Rhinolophus ferrumequinum: one gene and its partner. The protein of the gene in region 1 binds, or shares a complex with, the protein of each later gene. Links are inferred from orthologs where the notes say so. Each region holds a gene or a part of one and is shown on either strand. Other genes may lie near its edges.

Region 1 (3,749 bases):
GCAAAGGAAACAAGTTCAAACCATCTGACAGCTGTGCAAATCAAACCCCACTGCCTACTAAGACTCCTTTAACTAGAGCAGAAATAAAAGTTGTCAAATAAAGGTGGAACAAGAATGGATTTTGGAACAGAAAGTATTTGCTAGCAATTCTCGTCCTCTTTCAGAGATAAGGCTGTCATTGGACAAGAACAGACAAGAAAGTCCTTTCACACCCTGGAAAGGTTTGCAAACCTGTGATTCTGACACATAAGATTAGAAACAGAAATACTACAGCCAAGTTGATACCAGGAAACAATGATATTGCAAACAATAAATAACGAAACATGACAACTATCTTTGTAAAACAAGAACAGTTGAGTTCTTTTTAGAGATAAAATATATTCAAATAGCCATACATGAGAGATCACTAAAACTTGTGAACTTCATTTGAGATTCATTACATTCTTTCACCTTCACATTTAGTCAATCACCAAGTCTTAACAACTTACTAAAAACATTTCCCTAACTCCTCAGACTTCATTATCACAAACCAGTGATCCTGTGATAATTTTCTAATTTTGACTCTGGTTAGATTCCCCTCAAACTTTTTCTTCCTGAAATAATCATTTGCACCGCTGCATTATTCAAAACCCTCCAAAAGGGTCCTCACTTCCTAGAGACTAAAGACAGCCCCATTTCACAATACAGCAATATGAGTATGTGGTCCCCCCTTTTTTACGCAGACTCTCTGCTCTAGGCATAATACATAATAATCTCCTCTTTGTTTCCCAGGACACACCATGTTAACATGCATTTTCAGTCTTGCGTTTCTGTTCCACTCTCCATGGTACACTACGCTATGGCTCTGTCCACCCATCCGAATCCTGGAAGGTAAACATTTATGGAGCGTTTACTGTGCTCCAATCATAAGTGCATCACCTCAAGTTCCAAAGTTCCACCATATTTTCAAGCTCTTTCAGTCTGCAAGGCAGTTCTCCTTAATGATTCTCCTCCACTTAGCATGCAGTAGGAGAGAGAAACGCTCATTTACTCCATCTTTTTAAGGCATACTGATATAGCTGTGACAAGTCAAACGAGTGCCAGCGACTAAGGCTGGGTTGAAGAGTAAGAGATGCTTCATTCATCACATTATCTGTTGAGCAATTACCAGGTGCCAAACACAATTCTGGGTGTGACAGGCAAAGATCCTACTCTCACGGGATGTGATTGTGCATGCCCGCGCTGGGGAGAGGGAGGTAACCGACACTGAACACATCACCACAGCAGGACTTCACACTGAAAAGCGCTTTGCAGACTATATAACACAGGTTTGGCGTGCTAGCGAATGACATGAGCTATTTTAAAGAGGTGGACAGGGAGGGCCCCTCAGAGTCAATTCATGAGAATTCAGCCATGTGATAAAAAAAAAAGTTTTTAAAAATTTAACTAACCAAAGGTCCCTACATTTTCCTTTAAGTTCAAAGATTCATAATCACATCTGATTATGTATCTTATGAAACTCTCCTAAGAGACAACACTCCCCAATATGAAAAAGTAAAGCTGGGCTAAGGGCTGATCAAGATCTGGTGTCTTTACAAAACACCGTTCTGACGGTCAGTTTCAGGAGCCCCGTCGTGCTCTGAAGGAACTCTCCGGCCCCGCGGCGTGAGCTCAGCACGCTCCGCTCGCCCGAGAACTCCCTGAAGGGCCATCACCCTAAGAGGACACTTTTTAAGGGTACGCGGAGATCAGTGTTCCTTTCTGGCCGAGAAAATGGCACAGGCAGCAGCAGCAGACATGCTCCGCTTCCTGTACAGGTTCACGATGATGACCAGTTTCACCAGGAGAAGACGCAGAAATTCTTCAGTCTGGGGTAAAATGCACCGCGCGAATCGGGGACACCGAGACCGGGCCCCGGGAAAACCAGGTCGTGGGGAATGGAGACCCGTTCCCGGCAGGTTCGGACTCCTAATTGGCTGAAGGACAGACACTGTGGGTCCCTAATTGCCTCGTCTGCAAACGAGCGCAACAATGAGTCCTGCCTCTCAAGACACGGGAAGCTCTAAGGAGATGACCGTGGAGAACTTTAAAAGGTGAACGGCCGGCGTGGGACCGTCTCGACTCGCTGAAACTACTGACAACATAAAGTACGAGGAGGAGCGCAAGCGGGAGTCGCGCGGACAGTACCTTGACCAGCCAAACTCCGGTGTTCTGTTTGGCGCCGGTCAGGTCCAGGTCCCCACGCTCGGCCATGGGTCTGTCGCCAGAGGAGGCGTGCGACCCAGAGCAGCGGCTTCGGGAGCTGGAGAGCGTCCGGAGCCCGGGGCGAGCCGCGGCGGGAGGCCCCCGGGAAAGTGCCGGCGTCCTCGGGCCAGGAAGCTGGGAACCCCCGGAAAGAGGAACACGCCGCCGGCAGCCCGCAACTGCGCCTGCGCGCTGCCACCGTCACTACGGCGCGCGGGCGCAGACAAACTTCCTGCTTCGGCCGCTGTGGGGAGTGGGCGTGGCTACTGGTGCCGACGGCGTCCGAGTGATTAAAACGTGGGATGCCCTGGGCCAAAACGTCAGCAATACGTTAAAAGACTAGGGCAGCAGAACTGAAGAAAGTGTCGACACAGAAAAATGGGGTTCAAAGAGACAAAGGCTGTCAGTATATGTCCAACCGTGGCCGAGGAGAGGCAGCATTAGGAGGAGAGTGTTGGGATAATAAACAGAGTAAGTGAATGTGGGCACGGGTTGGACCGAGTAGCTCTGGAGATACTGAAAACATGCTGTTTCTAAAGCTTAAAAAAAAAAAAAAAAGGCAGTGTCTCAACTGAGAGGCTGCCCTGAGCACCTCTGATTAAGCAAACCGAGCACACCCCTTCGGTCTCCAAAACCCAGGGTCCCTGTAATTTAGTCAGTGACAGTGGACGTGAAAGAGGGAAACCTGGTTGTTAAACTCTCCTGCTTAAACAGTATTCTTGCTTCTAGAATAAAATTCAATTCTCTCTACACGGGCCCTCTCAATTTGATCCCTGCCAGTCAATGCACCCGCCCCACATCCAACCGCACTGAACCCATCAGACCGCCCCAAACATGTCAGAATCTAACTCAGTTATTTCAGGGCCTCTGCACATTCGATCCTCTTTACTCGCAGGCCCTATTCTTCACTTAGCCTCACTCTCCCCCACCCCCTGACCCCCCCTACTTAGGTTTCGAGTCTAATAGAAATATCACTTCCTACGAGACTTTTTATTAACTCCCCCAGAGGAAGTTCGCTTTGCTTCACATATCACAGTGTGTGACACTTCCCATGACTCTTTATAATATACGTGTTTGCATGCTGCCTTTGCTTTCTAGACTGTAAGCTCCTCCTATGCAGAAATAGGGCTTTTTTCATCTTAGACATCCACAACATCTAGCAACATCTATTGTCAGATTTCAATAGGCTTTGGCTCAATGAACATTCACCAAAGAGAAATAAATAGTAAGATATTGTAAGAATGGCAACTAATATATTGAATCACGCATCCGATCTATGCACATAATTAAAGAGATTCCATGTCTGTGAGGGTAAAGGAAAAGCCATCCTGTCTCTGAAATCAGCTGGGAAAACTAATAGGAAAGATGGAAGACCAGGCATGCATTGAAAAGGAAGGTTGCATTTTTCTTTTAACTTTTATTTTTATTTAAGTGTGTTTTTCCAGGACCCGTCAGCTCCAAGTCAAGTAGTTGTTTCAATCTAGTTGTGGAGGGTGCCGCTCACAGTGGCCCATGTGGGGACCGAA
Region 2 (3,749 bases), on another chromosome or scaffold:
GTAACATGGTGGGTTGGAGTTAGGATCAAACTCCATCTCTGATGGGATGGACTTGAAAGGAAAATGATAATGGGTCAGCACTTTAAATGGATGCTCCAGTAGATGGTCAGGAATGAGTGTCTCTCCTTGGCCCCACCCACAATGCCCAGACTTACATGTCGAGAGATGAAGCAGGACATAGGTCCAATTTCTGTGAAGAGTCCAACCTAGAAGGAAAATGAGTGACCCTTGCTCTTTCTTTTGTTACCCAAAGTCTTCTAAGCTTCCCACCTGTATCTGATTTCTAATTATTTTCTCCATGTTTGAAACCACTCTGAATTATAGCATTTGTTTTCATTTCCCATTTTTCAAGTTTCATTTTAAGTTTAGCAAATATGGTGAAGTAGTAAAGAGCTGAGACCTGGGACTCCTGTCAAATCCTGTCAGTCCAGGATTTGAACACTTGTTGGTCATGTGACACCGGCCACTAGACTTAACTTCTCTCAGTTTAAGCTTCTACAAAAAAGGATAAAAGCACCCACCTTATAGAGTCGCTGTAAGGCTTTATACATGACCTGGCCTGCAATAACTACTCAATCAACAGAGGCTACTATTGTTATGACTATTAATATGGACTTACATGCCCTGAGTGAGGCAGGGCGAAATTATTACACCTTTTGACAGGTGAGGGAACTGAAGCACAAAAAAATGACTTAGCCAAAGGACATAGACTTAGCAAGTGGAGTTGGGACCTATCCCCCATCTTCTGAGAGATCACCCCCCTGCCTCCTCTATCTGTTGTCTCACCTTGTTGACCTGAGTGACAACAGCGTCCACGACTTCCCCCTTAAAGGGCCGGAAAACAATGGCCTTGTACTTCACTGGATAAAGGACAAAACCTCGGCCTGGCTGGATCACACCAGCACCAATATTGTCAATGGTGGTGACAGCAATTACAAAGCCATACCTGTGAGGAGGATGAGAACAAAAGGGACTGTATGTGGAAGAGCTTCTAAAACCATCTGCAGGGGCAGCCTGGGGGGGAGGGCAGCTCAGTTGGTTAGAGCGCGAGCTCTGGGCAACGGGGCAGCCGGTTGGATTCCCACACGGGCCAGCGAGCTGCGCCCTCCGCAACTAGAATGAAGTCAATGAGCTGCCGCTCAGCTCCCGGGTGGCCAGATGGCTCAGGTGGTTGGAGCGCGGGCTCTCAACCACAAGGTTACTGGTTTGACTCCTCGACTCCCGCAAGGGATGGTGGGCTGCGCCCCCTGCAACTAACAACAGCAACCGGACCTGTGTGAGCTGCGCCCTCCACCACTAAGATTCAAAGGACAACTTGACTTGGAAAAGTCTCGGAAGTACATACTATTCCCCAATAAAAAATAAGTAAATAAATAAATAAAGCCATCTGCAACAAGACTCAGTGAACCTGGGGGTCGCGGGCCAGTACAAAGAGGAAGCAGATGGCATCCCTGACGCTAGAGAGCCTAACGACCAAGAAGGAAGACAGGATGATCAGTATATATAACGCCCAACACTGCTCTCCTAATTTCACAATACATGTTCAATAAGGCTGCAGTCCTTGAGCTAAGAGACCTCAGTCTTTGAGATCCTCAGAATCACCTGGGAAGAACTTATTAAAATGCAGATTCCCAGGCCCGTCCCCAGAGTCCTGATTCTGCGGGGAGGGGATGAGCCTCAGGAAATTTCACGTTCAAGAGATACCACAGGTTATTCTGATGATGGCGGCCCAAGTAGTCTGCAGCCCTGGTCTCATCCCAGCTCATTAACACCAGTGTGAGCGACCTCTGTGCGTAGCCCAGAGATGTGTCATGCCAGTCCCTGGGCATGGAGATAGAGAAAACCAGGAGAATCACAGACAGAGCAGACACAGGAACAATGATTGGACTGTGGGCTCCATGACGGCTGGCCTCATTCTATATCGTTCCCAGGGCCCAACACAGGCCCTGGCACACAGCAGGAGCTTTAGAAACGTGTGCAGAGTAAGTGAATGACCAATCTAAGCTGAGGGAAGTAAATCTTGAGATCCAGCTTTGCAGAGGGCGCCATGGGAACCCAAAACAGGAAGCAACAGACTGCTTGGGGCGCCTACGAGTGTGTGAGAGGGTTCCCCAGAGTAATTGGCAGGACCTTGCAGAATGAGTAGGAGTTGGGAAGGGGTTGCCTTGTATGCATAGATCAGGTGGAACAGAGAGCACGGCACTCACTTGCCGGTGCAGGTCCCCTCTACCTCCGTAAAGAGCTTCTGTTTCACCGTGTTGAGCAGGTTGGGGCCGAAGTAGCGCGGGTGCAGCAGGATCTCGTGCTCCAGGGATATCTGTGGGGAAAGTGGCATGGAGACCGGGCAAGGCGCAACAGGAAGATGCGGCAACTCTTCCCGGCGCCCCGCTTCGTCCTCTCTCGACCCTGCCCTCGCCGCCACCCCGTGCCCTGCTCACATGGTAGAACATCTTCCCGGAGAAGGAAGGAGAGCAGCCGAGTCCACACCTTCGCGGGAAGCGGTATCTCCAGCTCAACCGGAAACACAATCTTTCGCTGCAACCCCGCTTCCCCACCAGAGGGAGCTAAGAGGGCGGGACTCCGCCCTTTCCACGGACCCGATTGGGCCTCACTGTGGTGGGCGGGGAATCCAGGAAGCTCGGCCCTCCACCCCGTCCACCAGCGATCAAAATCCGCTCTCTTAAATTAACAGTCCCTGGCCCAGAATACATGCTCAATAAGTACTTTTAAACGGAATTAATTAATTAATGAAAGGTGGCATAAATAAAGCTCTTTAGCAGAGTGCATTCATTTACCACTCCAGGTAGATGGTATCAAAATTGAGTTAAATTGTAGGACACCCAGCTGGTGTCAGAATTGCTTGGATGGAGGGGTTGGGGGTGGCGGGGAGCACCTTGTAATTGGAGTCAGAATTCTTAGTAATAAATACTTAAAACTGATCACTTCCTAATCATTTTACTACAGTTTGCCATTGTCAATACTCTTGAGGTTATTTATACCTATTTTGTCTGTGTGGTGTAAATATTATATAATTGTATATGTAGGTATAAGAGTTCCAGTTGCTCTGATATCCTCACTAGCCCTTGGTATTGTCAGCAGTTTGTTCATTTGTTTATTTGTTTTTGTTTATTTAACTATCCTAATGACTGTGTAGTAGTATCTCATTGTGGTTTTAGTTTTCATTTCCGTAATGACTAATGACGTTGAACATCTTTTCATGTGCATATTTGCCAAGAGTGATGGTTTCAAAACTGAAATCAAATCATGTCACCCCCCGACTTAGAACCCAATGGCTACCCAGAGCACTAGAATAAAATCACTGTGACCTACCAGGCAGGGACCAGATCCAGCCAACTCCTTTTTCTGCCTCTCTTCCTTTTGCTTTCTCCACTCCAGCCACATTGCCCTCCTCTCCCACCTCAGGACCTACACACTTACTATTTCTCCTGCCTAAAATGCTCTTAGCTCTGATACCCACCTGCTGGGGGCGGAAGGGGGCTCCTCATCCTTCAGGTATAAGCTCAGTATCACCACCACCAAGAAGCCTTCCATGACTACCCTGACTCAAGTAGCCACACCCCAGTCATTCCTTTATTGTATTGCCTTGTTTCATTTTCTTCCTTGAACTTAGTCATATTTGGACTCATTCATTTAGATATGTGTATATTGCCTGTTTCCCCTCAAGAAGGGCAGGTGTTCCTCTATATTCATAATACCTAGAACACTACCTGGCACACAACAGATGCTCA

The links.
Region 2: GTF2F2 (region 1) and POLR2G share a complex: the UniProt entries of both Homo sapiens proteins name them as parts of the TBP-based Pol II pre-initiation complex. The link is inferred for Rhinolophus ferrumequinum from reciprocal best matches to the Homo sapiens genes GTF2F2 and POLR2G.

The regions. Positions count from the first base shown.
Region 1 is NC_046287.1:5,793,871-5,797,619, forward strand, and holds the start of GTF2F2 (general transcription factor IIF subunit 2), read right to left. Parts: upstream 2,408-3,749; 5' UTR 2,233-2,407; coding exon 2,167-2,232; intron 1-2,166. UniProt on the Homo sapiens protein: TFIIF is a general transcription initiation factor that binds to RNA polymerase II and helps to recruit it to the initiation complex in collaboration with TFIIB.
Region 2 is NC_046294.1:8,066,569-8,070,317, forward strand, and holds the start of POLR2G (DNA-directed RNA polymerase II subunit RPB7), read right to left. Parts: upstream 2,576-3,749; 5' UTR 2,451-2,575; coding exon 2,439-2,450; intron 2,318-2,438; coding exon 2,208-2,317; intron 947-2,207; coding exon 787-946; intron 207-786; coding exon 156-206; intron 52-155; coding exon 1-51. UniProt on the Homo sapiens protein: Core component of RNA polymerase II (Pol II), a DNA-dependent RNA polymerase which synthesizes mRNA precursors and many functional non-coding RNAs using the four ribonucleoside triphosphates as substrates.